Rattus norvegicus: one gene and its partner. The protein of the gene in region 2 purifies or fractionates together with the protein of the main gene of each other region. This does not show direct contact. Links are inferred from orthologs where the notes say so. Each region holds a gene or a part of one and is shown on either strand. Other genes may lie near its edges.

Region 1 (5,893 bases), on a different chromosome or scaffold from region 2:
CTCTTGATATTTTAAAATGCAGATCACAATTATCTGAAATTATATCAAATATCAAATTATTCTTTTGATATCTAAATTATTTCAGCTCCATAGACATTTAGCTTTTCTAATTTATTACTGCATAACTTTTAACACCATGCTCTCCTTCCTATTCTCATTTTAAGCCCCACTCCCCCCCAAGTCAGCCTTCCTTGACCATGTAACTAAAAGGTCAACCGCCAATTAAAGTCAAAATTGAAGTGCTTTAAGTACGTTTTAGCTGATTTAGACAACGCAACATTAATACATACCTGCTCTGCTCTTTACCTTGTTTTAGAGGCAAGCAGTAGAGGACAGCAGGAAATGAAAGGGAAGCATGCCAGAGCCAGGTACAATTACCAGTGACAATTAAAAACTGAAGGGAAGCCACCACATATTTGAGAGCTGCTGATTCCATGCTTTGTAAACCAACGTCAGGGTTCCAGAGCCTTAATTCTGAAAACCTGTCACTATGTCAGCTTGAACCCATAAACCTGGCAGTCTAAGTGTTAACGTGTAGCCCTTTGAGTTTCTTTTACCTAACCTGGAAAGGTGTCACAACGACTAGGAATTAACTATTGCCTGGATTATACAAATCCAGTCTTTAACCTAGCTATCTTTGGGTGACTAGAGCTCATTAACTGGCAGCTTTTCACAGTTCTCACTAATGTTCACTTAGACAGCGGTTGATTTCAGGGATCCACAGATCTCTCCTCATCTAGATGCTTTCCTTAAGCTTTGTGCTTTAAAACTCCTGCTGACTGCTGATACAATTAGAATTTACTTAAGATAAATATTAGCTGACGGGATCCAAAACTCCTTTAAGTCACAATGTTAACTAACCTCTTGAACCATACCTATAGCTACTTGTGAATTCCAAAGTATTTTATATTTCAGTAAAGAACAAAACTTCTTTTCAAGATGTAATTGACTATAAAAGGTATGTGGTTAGAAACCAGCCAAGTTTTACATAATTAACTCTCAGGGCTCTGAACACGATTTGTACAGGGAAACATGAGAACCCAAGCTTTTAACCCTTAACTTCCATCAAGTGAGGCCCTGTAACTACACACTTATTTGTATTTTTTGTTCTGCTCACAAAAGATGTTATTAAATACTAAACTAGTCGAATTTTTTTAAAGGATAAAAATACAAATCTGACAGCTAAAGCCCATTTCATGGTTTGCAATACTTCCTCATATTCAATTGCAACCCAGCTGGGTAAAGTAGCATATTTACAGCGCTGCCATTGATACCATTCGCTGCTGAAGAAAGCTAGTGGCTCAGATAGCCCACTGCTGCTGCCCCAGGTCTTTGGAAGAAATCAACTTATGTTAAAGCAGCAGCTACTGAACTGGAATTGAGAACAAAAGAGCAGTTATTGAAAGGTAATATTACAATCCTTAGAATAGGGAATACACTTGTGTGCTAATGGGAAGATCATTAGTAAGTATTCAGCTACCCCCATTTAGCTCACTTAATATAGTTCCACAAGAGAAAAGATTAAACTATATAATCTAAGGACAAGTTACAGGCAGATTTTTAAAATACAAGTTCCTGGTAGCTAAACGAAAATTATTTAGTTTTACATCCCTAAGTACTGAGAAGTTCCAATTCATAAAACTATTATTACCAATCACTAGAGCTTGATAAATCAATACAAATGAAGTGGTATTAATATTAAACGGTTATGGCCTTAGCATAAGCCACTACCTTCCTGCTTTAAAACAAAGTTCTGGTTTTCTGCACTTTAAGATCAACACACATCTTTCCTAACACTTAAAACCAAAAAAATAACACTGCACTTGAAAACGAGTAAAGAGCGGGAAAGTCCGCCTCACTTACAAGTATCAAGACAAACCACTGTGTCATCGAAGTGTTCGTCTTCTTCTTCAACAGGTGGCTGAGGAGACTTGGCTCTGAAAGACAGAATTGTCTCCTGATAAAACTTTTCCCACCACATATAAAGAATGGGTGACAAGTGAAAACTAGGTTAGGATTCTCTACCTGCTGTACTTGTTTTCTTCAATGTACTCAAAATATCCTCGGCCATGATCTTCCCGGGGTCTTTTAACACCTCTCTTTTTATCTCCAGCTTTCTGTTCTGTTTTGCCGTCTCCTATAACGACACAGAACACGGCCTTAAAGTACCAGGCTGAAAACTAAATGGGGGAAAGCACCTTTTCCTGTTTCAAGCCTCAAGAGCTGTTACTGATTTTCTTTTCAGACTGGTTCTGTGACTTTTTAAACCACAAATGAGAATTTAAAGGAAAAAAAAGTCTGGAATTGGACTGGAGACAGTGACGCAGTCTAAAGACGTTATGGATTTTGCCAGCCTACCGCAACCTTCCAGAAAGCATTTTTAAAATAGTTCAAAAAAATTAAAAAAAAAAAAAGCGCGACACCGCCCGGGCCCACGTGCGCGGCGCTCAAGCGAGAGGGAGGGGTAGCGTGGGCCCACCTCCCCTCCCCCACCCGAGCCCGCGTGCCCCGCCGCCGCATTGTACTGAGCTTCCGCCCCGCTCCCCGCGCCTCCCGCCGGAAGTGACGTCACACCGAGCCCCTGTGCTCCTTGCACAATACCGCTGCGCAGAGCCGCCAAAGCCCGCCCGCTCCGGGACCTTCGGGCTTTTCCCCTCCCCCCCCACATGTGCCCGAACCGCGCGCACACAGCGCCCCAGCGGCCGGCGCTCCTGCCCGCCTCGGCTCCTCCTCCCCCCCCCACCGCAGCAGCTGCAGCTCCCCCCGGCGCCCGACATACATAATGGAGGCGCCGCCGGCATGGCGAGAACCTCTCCGCGGCCCCGGGGCTCCCCGCCCCCACCTCCCGCGGCGCTCGCCCCTAGGGGCCCCAGCAGGCCTGGGGCACGGTCCCCACAGCCGCGCGCACCCACAACGCAACACTCACCCGCCACCTTCCGCCTTCTTACCTCCCGCCTGCTGTTGGCCCTGCCTCGCCCCTGGCGGCGCCACCGTCACCGCGAAGAGCGAGGTGGGGCCGCTGCTTTTCCCCGCGGCCTCCTTGCCAGGCCCGCGCTGCTGAGAAGCCTGCTGCGCCGCCGCCGGCGGTTGGGACTGCTGCTCCCCGTGGCCGTTCTCGTCGCCCGCGCCCTCCTCTTCGTCGCCGAGCTCGTCCTCCCCCTCCTGGAAGCCCTGGTCGTCGCCGTTCTCGTCTTCCGACGCCGCCTCCTCCTCCTCCATCGCGCCCGCGTCAGCCGCCCCCGCCGCCCCGTTCTCCTCGCCCAGCTCCATCTGGTCGCCGTCCAGAGCGGCAATGCCCTCCTCCTCCTCATCGTCTTCGGCGCCGGCCGCGGCCTCCTGCTCTAGGCCTGCTCCCGAGCGCCCGGCCGCATCGCCACCCAGGTCGAGGCTGCCGTTCCCGGGCTCCATGGCGGGGCGGCCTCCTGCCTCGTTGTCCAGCGCGGCCTGGAGTCGATCCATGAGATCGGCCTTGAGGCCCTTGTCTGAGAGGCGCCGCTTCTTGAGCTCCTCCTTCAGCTCCGACACCTTCAGCTTCTTGACATTAACAGGCGAAGAACTCATGGTGAGGGCCCGGGTTCACCGCTGACTGCTGGCTCCCTCGGCCTGTGGCGGCGGCTGCTGGTCGGCCCGGGCGGCGGCTGCTGCTGGAGATAGCTGAGTGCTGCTGCAGAACGGACCCGCCTGGTGTCGAACGGCGCCAATTCCTTTCACCGAGTTCGCGAGGCAAGACGCGGAGACTCGCCTGGCGCGAGCGAGCACGCAACGTCCTCTCGCAGGGGCGGCGCCGCGCACGTAATATAGGCGCCCCGCCCCCTGCCGAGGCGAGGCCCGCTAGGGCGACTGCGCGCGCAGGCCCCGCCCCGCCCCCACGGCGCGACCTCCGCGCTGGGCCGGGCCGAGCAAATGGAGGCTCTGGAAGCGGCCTTTCGGTTTAACGGACCCGCCGCAGTGGCCGCCGGCCTTTCCGGCTCTTGGGTCGCCGCGCTCCATCGGCGCTCTGTCTTCTGTATCCTGGAGGACGCTCTCCTCCATCCGCCTTCAGTCCTCACCTTGCATTTCCCACTCGAGAACAGCCTCCTTTCTTCCATCTTCGTTTAGGTTTTGGGGTTTTTTTTTTGTTTTGTTTTGTTTTTTGGGTCTGTCCCTCCGGCTCTAGGTTTAAAACCTTCAAGTTTCCACTGCTTCTCTGTAGAACACATGTAGGCGATTGTTATGCAGAGGTTTTTTGTTGTTTAGTTTTTCCTCCACTTAATTGCGGTTTAAATTTTACTAGTCGTGCCTTGCCAGTCGGACTTATTTTACGTTCCGCAAGGGCGAGGCCAGAGCCTTTCTTTTGTCTCTTCCCCAACCAGCGGTGCAAAGTCTGGGAAAGAGGCTTGTTGTGCTGCTCCGTGCGCCCGCCACAGCGCATAAAGCCGGCCTTGTGCACTACTGACCCTTAAGAAAGCCTTAGATTTGCATGGAAGTTTCCCCTCTATGTACTTACTGTAAAGACAGGCCTCTTGCAGGACAGTCTGTCCCTGCAGATCTAGTCCACCAGTTTTGAGATCCTGTAATTACAGATGAGTAGGACAACACCCAGCTAGATTATTCACTTTGATCTTCTCCCTGTTTTTTCAGACACTATAAACATGTTTGTATACCTGCTAAGTTGCCTACAAACTGGTAATAACAAAAGGCTGGGTTTTAGTTAAAAAAAAAAAAAAATTACCTGTAGTCCTATCACTTGGCAGAATGAGGCAGACATATCAAGAGTTAAAAGCCAGGGCTACTTAGTAAATTCTAGGCTACCTTGGGCTACATACCAGATCCTATCTCAAAAAATAGGAATAAAACTAAACTATCTGTTTTTCTCTTATTAAATATGTTGTGTTCTTGAAGCATATAGAATTTTATTTCTACACGGGGGCTTCCTGTGCAGACTGAACCCAAGCTAGGTTTGGTGGTACATGTGTATAATTCCAACACTTGAGAGATACAGGCAAGATGATCAAGAATTCAGTATCAGACAGGCCACTGGTGGTGGCACACAAGTTTGGCTCCAACACTCAGGAGGCACAGGCAGACCTCTTGAGTCCAAGGCCACTAGTTCCAGGACAGCCAGAGCTACACACACACACACAAAAAAACCCTGTCTTGAAGAAAACAAAACAAAAAACAAAACAAAATCAATAAATCAGTAAATAAAATGCAGTGTCATCCTTGGCTACAGAAGGAGTTCAAAGCCAATGTGAGATACCTGATAGGCTGTCTCTACAAAAACCACGGACACCAAAATGTTAAGCTATACCAGTAGGTACTCTGACAGTAAACCTGTGGTCCCTGTATTCTGCCTGTTCACCTGAAACGTAGATGTACAGAAATGAAACCTATTACCTGTCCAATATAATTTAACCAATTAATAAAATGATTTGTTATTTGCTTTTTTTTTTTTTTTTTGGTTCTTTTTTTCGGAGCTGGGGACCGAACCCAGGGCCTTGTGCTTCCTAGGTAAGCGCTCTACCACTGAGCTAAATCCCCAGCCCCTATTTGCTTTTTTTTAAGGGTCTCTAGCCAAGGCTGGCTGAGGGCCTCCTGTCTATGCCTCCTGTATACTGGAATTAAAAGCATGCACCACTGCTCCCTGCTGCAACCATTTTTAGAAAGCATTTTATCTGAGGGCTGGTGAGATGGCTCAGCAGTTAATAATACTAGCTATTCTTCCAGAGGTCCTGAGTTCAATTCTCAGCAACCACATGGTGGCTCACAACCATCTATAAAGAAATCTGATGCTCTCTTCTGGCATGCAGATGTACATGCATCAAGACATGCATCAAAAACTTTTTTTAAAACATTTTATCGGGGTTGGGGATTTAGCTCAGTGGTAGAGCGCTTGCCTAGGAAGTGCAAGGCC
Region 2 (5,843 bases):
CTGATTGTTGCAGAAACGTTTAGAACACAGGTCCACAAAGTTGGCCCATGAAAGCCACAAGACAATTAAATTATTCACTATCAGCAACTATAAAGTCATTGTCTCTTTCAAGAGTTCATTCAAGAGGATGGTGGCACCATAATCCCAGCACCTGGGAGGTAGAGGAAAGGAGATTGAAGACCAGCTTCAGCTACAAAGTTCCAGGCCATCCTGGGCTACAAGAGTCCCTGCAAGAGGACAGGGAGCTGGAGAAAAAGAGAACATGTTAAGAAGAAGAAAAAGGAGGGAGAACGATAAGGAAAGGGAGGAGTAAAGAGAGGACAGAGCAGACAAAGGAGGAAAGTGGGGAGACAGAGAGCCCATATGAGGTTTCTGTTAAGAGTCCTAGACACAGACGCACCTTTGGTAGTCCAGGCCTCAAGTAGTCACCAAGGGGACACCTGGATTTTTAAACTTAACTATTCCGCTGTCACCCACCATCTTTCTCCTCCAACTATCCCCTAGGATTGCTAGGGACAGAAGCAAAGTGTATACTATAATAAACAGGTGTAGTGTACTGGTATTCCACAACCAACACGAAGTCATTCTCAAAGTAGTATTTTAAAATATAACACAGTAGGGTATGTTGACTATAATTGAAACTGATCATAGTGAGAAACAGGTACCAACGATTTGGAAAAACTGTAGCTGCACACCTTATAAATGACTCAAGCAACGAGCCATACGCATAGACAGTAAATCAGATCCAGCAATGCAGGCCTCGGCACTACAATCTTTAGGGGGTTTGAGACTGACTTTTGGTTGGTTGTGGTTTTTTTGTTTGTTTGGTCTTTGTTTTGGTTGGTTTGGGGGATTTCATTTATTTGTTTAGGTTTTGAGAGACAGGGTTTCTCTGTGTAGTTCTGGTTGTCCTGGAACTCACTTTGTAGACCAGGCTGACTAACTCACAGAGATTCACCTGTCTCTGCTTCCTGAGAACTGGGATTAAAAGCATGTGCCACCATGCCTGGCACATTTTTTTATTACATTTCTAAGAATCCTACATTAAATCCCTTTTATGTCTTCATTAGGTGACATCTCTTCAATGTAAGGGCAAACAATATCACACAGTCTAACCCAGCCATGAGGATTTTATGGACACTAAGGAAGCATGTGCTCTACCACTAAGGTGCACCCCAGCACCTTAACAGTTACTCAAAACAAAACAGTTATAAGCTTAGAAAACCAGTAAGTGTGGGCCAGAATATTTCTTTAGTCATATGCTAAAAGACCATGCCTGAGGTTAATTACACTGTATTTCTTCTAACTCTCCTGAAAAAGAAGACATTTTGGTTGTTTTAAGTGAATATGTTTCATATGAAGCACTGGTCATTATGAAAGCAGATATACTGTTTTGTCTTTAAGAAGATGGAACATGTATCTTCATACATGAAGATACTTTGACACTTTGCCAAAAAAGAGGTCATCAGGATGGCTCAACCAAAGACACGTGATCATACATGCAGAACGAAATGAGTTCAAGTCCCAGAACCCAGGTAAAAGCAGAAGAGAATCTTTACAACATGGTCCTCTGACCTCCACAGGCCCACTGTGGTGCACGTGTGAATTCACATTAATACATAAGGCACGTTTTAAAGACATTTTGTCAAAATAACGGACTACTAAAGTTTCCCAAACTGTTACAACCGACAATTGGATGCTGAAAAAGAAAAAAGGTCCTCAGAACCTGAAGATAAAGTGACAGAATCCCTGTGAACACACACACACACACACACACACACACACACACACACACACCCCAGAAACTTCCAGGTTTGATTTTTCAACCATCCAGTTCTGCACATTGTGCTGAGTCCAGCAGACATGAGACTCTGTAGTTATGCTACTATTACTTCCATTTTAAACGTGTACCTTAGCTCCCTGGACAACATCATCCACAAAAACCATGGGCTATCCAACAGACTTTCAGTATCACCATTTATTATTTATAGCACTAAATGGGGGAAGTGGCTCTGATGTCACCAACCCTACCCAGTGGAATCACTGACTCAATAAGCATTTCACACTGGAGAAACTCTGACGAGGAAAACACATTGCTAAGTTCAGTAGATCGTTCACCTTTCCTCAGTACTGTGCGGCAGATACTAGTTGTTACGATATTAGTAGAGATACAAAGAAACTGTCAAGGTTTTCACAGGAAGAAGCCTTTCTTATGTCCCCAACTCTCCTGGGCCCAGTTTGATTTCCCTCACGTTCAAACTGGCAGGTACTACCAGCCATACTTTATTTCTTCCACCAATAAGCAAATCCTTCACTTTCCCAGCCATTCACTCACAGCCCTGTTTCCAAAAACCTTTCTAGCACCAAGTCTGAGGTCAGAAATGGGTTAGGGGTGTCCGGGAAGACCTGACCAACCTGGCTACCAAGGGTTTCTAACAGTAAAGGGATCGCTGCTTCTCGGTGGGTCAAGAACACCCCCACACACACACCGTCCCGCTTTTTATTATTAAAAGAAAAGAGGGTGGCAGTGATGAAGGCGACCTCTTCTCCCTCCCCTCTCATTTCCCAAATGATAAAGTTATGGTTTTCCTTTTCTGGGGGATGGAATTCTGAGTACCTAGGGCCCTGCTATACAAACATCCTTCACGGCAGGGTAGGAAACCCTTTGTCCAAGAAGCCTGACACCGCAGGGGCTCGGAAAAGAGGCCCCTTATCCCCTACAGCCTCAGACTCGTGGGCATGCCCAACATCCCAGTCCTGAAGGGCCTATCCTGGCATCCACACAGCGGTAGCTTGGGGTGAGGGTGCTGAGACCCACCGCCACCCCACCCCCTAAGCCTAGGTTACGGAGGCCGAAGCGGCTCCAACTGGTCTCGGACAACCTCCCACCACCATCACCCTCGGCTTGAGCGGGGCTGGGAAGCGCGATGCAGGCCTGGCAGAGGAATCCAGGGAAGGGAAAAAGAAATCCCCTTCTAAAAAGACAGTGTGATGGCAAGGCGAGAGTGAGCGGTGGCTCCGGCAGGAGCGAGGCAGGGGCGCCCGAGACTGGTCGGAGCCCGGCAAGGAGCGGGGAGGGGGTGGGGGAGTTCGCGGGGAGCGGAGGCCGGGCCGGCCCAAGAGCGCGAGGCGTCAGCAGCGAGCCGTAGCAGGGGGCCGGCCGGGCCCAGGCGACGGGGAACGAGGGCTGGCCTGGCGCGGACGCCGAGGTGGGCAGGCCCCCGGGCCGCCGGCCGGCCGGAAGAACTGAAGGCCAGCGGGCCGCACTCACCATGAGCTCGATGGTCTTGTCTTCAATCACCGAGTCGGGCTCCATGGCGGCCCCGGCGGCCCCGCCTCGCTCTCTCCGCTCAGCAGCGAACGGCCCGGGCGGAGGAGGCGGTGGCAGCGGCGGCGGCGGAGGCAGCTCTGGCACCCACTCTAGCTGCCAGCCCGCCCGGGCCGCCGGCAGCTCCGCCCTCCCCCTCGGCGGACGCAGGACGCACGGCGAAGACTACAACTCCCAACAACCGCGGCGGATCGCTAAGCCTTATGGGAACAAGAAGCCGTCGGGCCACTCTGCCAGGGTTCCGCCACGGGAGAGAGCACCTAGGGGAGGGCAGGGCTGGGAGTGCGGGGACATGCAGATCTGGAGTATCTAGGACTTGCTCGGGATAGGGCCTCGCGAGCGCCGCGACTACTTGTCCCAGAAATCCTCGCGCGCGCGGTCTCCTTCCGGTTGGTCGTTCCAGACTTCCTGGCAGCGGGTGGCTGCCCGGACCCGGACGGAAACTCCGAGGCAACTCCTCACTTGTCTGAGATCTTTGCGGTGCGACCGATTTCCGCACATGCGCAGTAGTTGTCTGCAGTGCCCACTGGTCGTCTAGGTGCTTGCGCGGCCGCCCGGTGTATTACACTTGGTAGGGACAGATGGTGGAGACAGGTGGGTCCGAGGTTGCACCAGGAGGTGTGGGAGGGGTCTGTGAGCCCGAAGATCCAACCAAGGGAAGATGGACATCTCAAGAGGAAAAGTTTGGAGGCTTGAGTTGGGAAACAGATGTATGGAGAGCTGCTACACTGGAAGTAGCTGAGCCATGAGAAAGAAGCTGATCATTTTGAAGACATTTTTAAGCATTCCGTTGCTACTAGTACTGCCCTAAGCTCTGGAAATGACAGGCGAGACCTCTGTTCTCGTGAAGCTTAATTCTAATGGGAAGACAGCAGACATTCACCAAGAGTTAGAAATGCTGTGAAGAAACACATCTAGAGACTTCCAGTGAACTCTTCCTCTTAACTCTGTGTGCCCTCCAAGTTGTCAGTACCCTCAAACCAAAAACCCCCAGGAATACGCTGTAGTTAAACAAGGTGGGTTTATTTTAGCTGAACTAGAAGAGAACATGCACCACGATGAATCATGGACGTCTCAGTAAGAGACATTAGGTAATGTAGAAAAGGATTTGAAGGGGCTCTGGAGCGCATACTGCCAGGAAGTGGGGGTAATAAGGTTGGACACCTTATCTATGGGAAGTTATATTAGATTGAAACTAATCCAGTAATTGATGACAGCCTCTTGTAGCCGTGTGTCAGGGGCTTAGACAATGTTCATGTTTTATCTGTGTTCACGAGTAATTATGGAGTGGTCTTGTTTTTGTCTTGATCCATAAGATAAGGCCGTTCTGTGGCCTTGTCTAATGTTAATGGTCTGTGAAGTTGTTTATGTTTTACTGGAGATCTGGCTGTAGAAACCAAGCTCTGGCTATTATCGTGTATCTCGAGGGCCTGGCTCATTGTACCCAACCCACTTCACAGTAGCAGTGACTTGAGAAGCTTTCCTGCTTCTCAAGTGTGTTTCAATTCTTTGCCCCTGTAAAGTGGATGACTTAGAACTCTTCCCATTTCCAAAGAGCAAGCAAGGCATTACAGTAATCTGTATGCATCTAAACCACAGTATAAATTCCCTGCAGTTAGAGTCTGAAATGTTAGAATCTTTATCTAGTGGCTTTCACCAAGAGATTGAAAGAAAAACACCTGGGAAAAGCCCAGAATTAGAGTTACTGCCAATACCTTGCTGTCTGGATTTCCCCAAACTCTCCTCCCTTTCTGGGTTTGGGACAGTCAGTAGCGTAATGAGGTTAGGTTAAATGACCTCTGTTTCAGTTACCTATTGCAACATAATCCTCCATCCCAAGGTGTGGTGGCTTAGAATAACAATGGCTTATTATTTTATACAATTATGTAAATTAACCAAGCTCATCTGGACCAATGTGATGTAAGCTGAGGTTACACATGGGGCTTTAATCAGCTGGGAACACCTTCAAAATGATATCTCATCTTCTGGAGCCTCTCAAGCTTCTGGAAGGTGGGTTCAAAACAGGACAGGACCCATCAGCAAATGGTTATCAAGCTTTCTGATTGCTGCACTGGTCAAAGCAAGTCATGTCCAAGCCCATAGCAAGTGTGGGAAGTTCTATGAATACCGAAAGACTAGTTTATTGGAGTTCACCAATTTAACAGCCAACCAAGACCTTGAAGTTGTCAGTACCTTTCATATGAGATAGCATGTAGGGGAGCACAGGATGAGTATGAACTTCCCATGTGTTTGTTTTAGCCTAAACTACCATATTCATTTTTTTTTTAAAAAGTCACACACTAAGTGTGGTAGCACACACCTTTAATCCCTGCACTTGGGAGGAGACAGAGGCAAGTGGATCTCTGAGTTCAAGGCCAGCCTGATCTAAAAAGGAGTTCTAGGCTGTTAAACCGAGAAACTATGTCACAAAACAAACCAACAAACAAAACAAAAAACTCTGGCATATTCCTAACCTGAAGGCCCTGGGTTGAACCCATAGCACTGGCGAAATCAG

What was found.
Region 1: the proteins of Fbxw11 (region 2) and Hnrnpu purify together in Homo sapiens (affinity purification with mass spectrometry; 5 studies listed by BioGRID and IntAct, counting the BioPlex papers as one, with this or other methods). This does not show direct contact. The link is inferred for Rattus norvegicus from reciprocal best matches to the Homo sapiens genes FBXW11 and HNRNPU.

Annotation. Positions count from the first base shown.
Region 1 is NC_086031.1:92,614,853-92,620,745, forward strand, and holds the start of Hnrnpu (heterogeneous nuclear ribonucleoprotein U), read right to left. Parts: upstream 3,729-5,893; 5' UTR 3,562-3,728; coding exon 2,949-3,561; intron 2,138-2,948; coding exon 2,026-2,137; intron 1,938-2,025; coding exon 1,864-1,937; intron 34-1,863; coding exon 1-33. UniProt on the Homo sapiens protein: DNA- and RNA-binding protein involved in several cellular processes such as nuclear chromatin organization, telomere-length regulation, transcription, mRNA alternative splicing and stability, Xist-mediated transcriptional silencing and mitotic cell progression.
Region 2 is NC_086028.1:17,734,814-17,740,656, reverse strand, and holds the start of Fbxw11 (F-box/WD repeat-containing protein 11), read right to left. Parts: upstream 3,461-5,843; 5' UTR 3,317-3,460; coding exon 3,272-3,316; intron 1-3,271.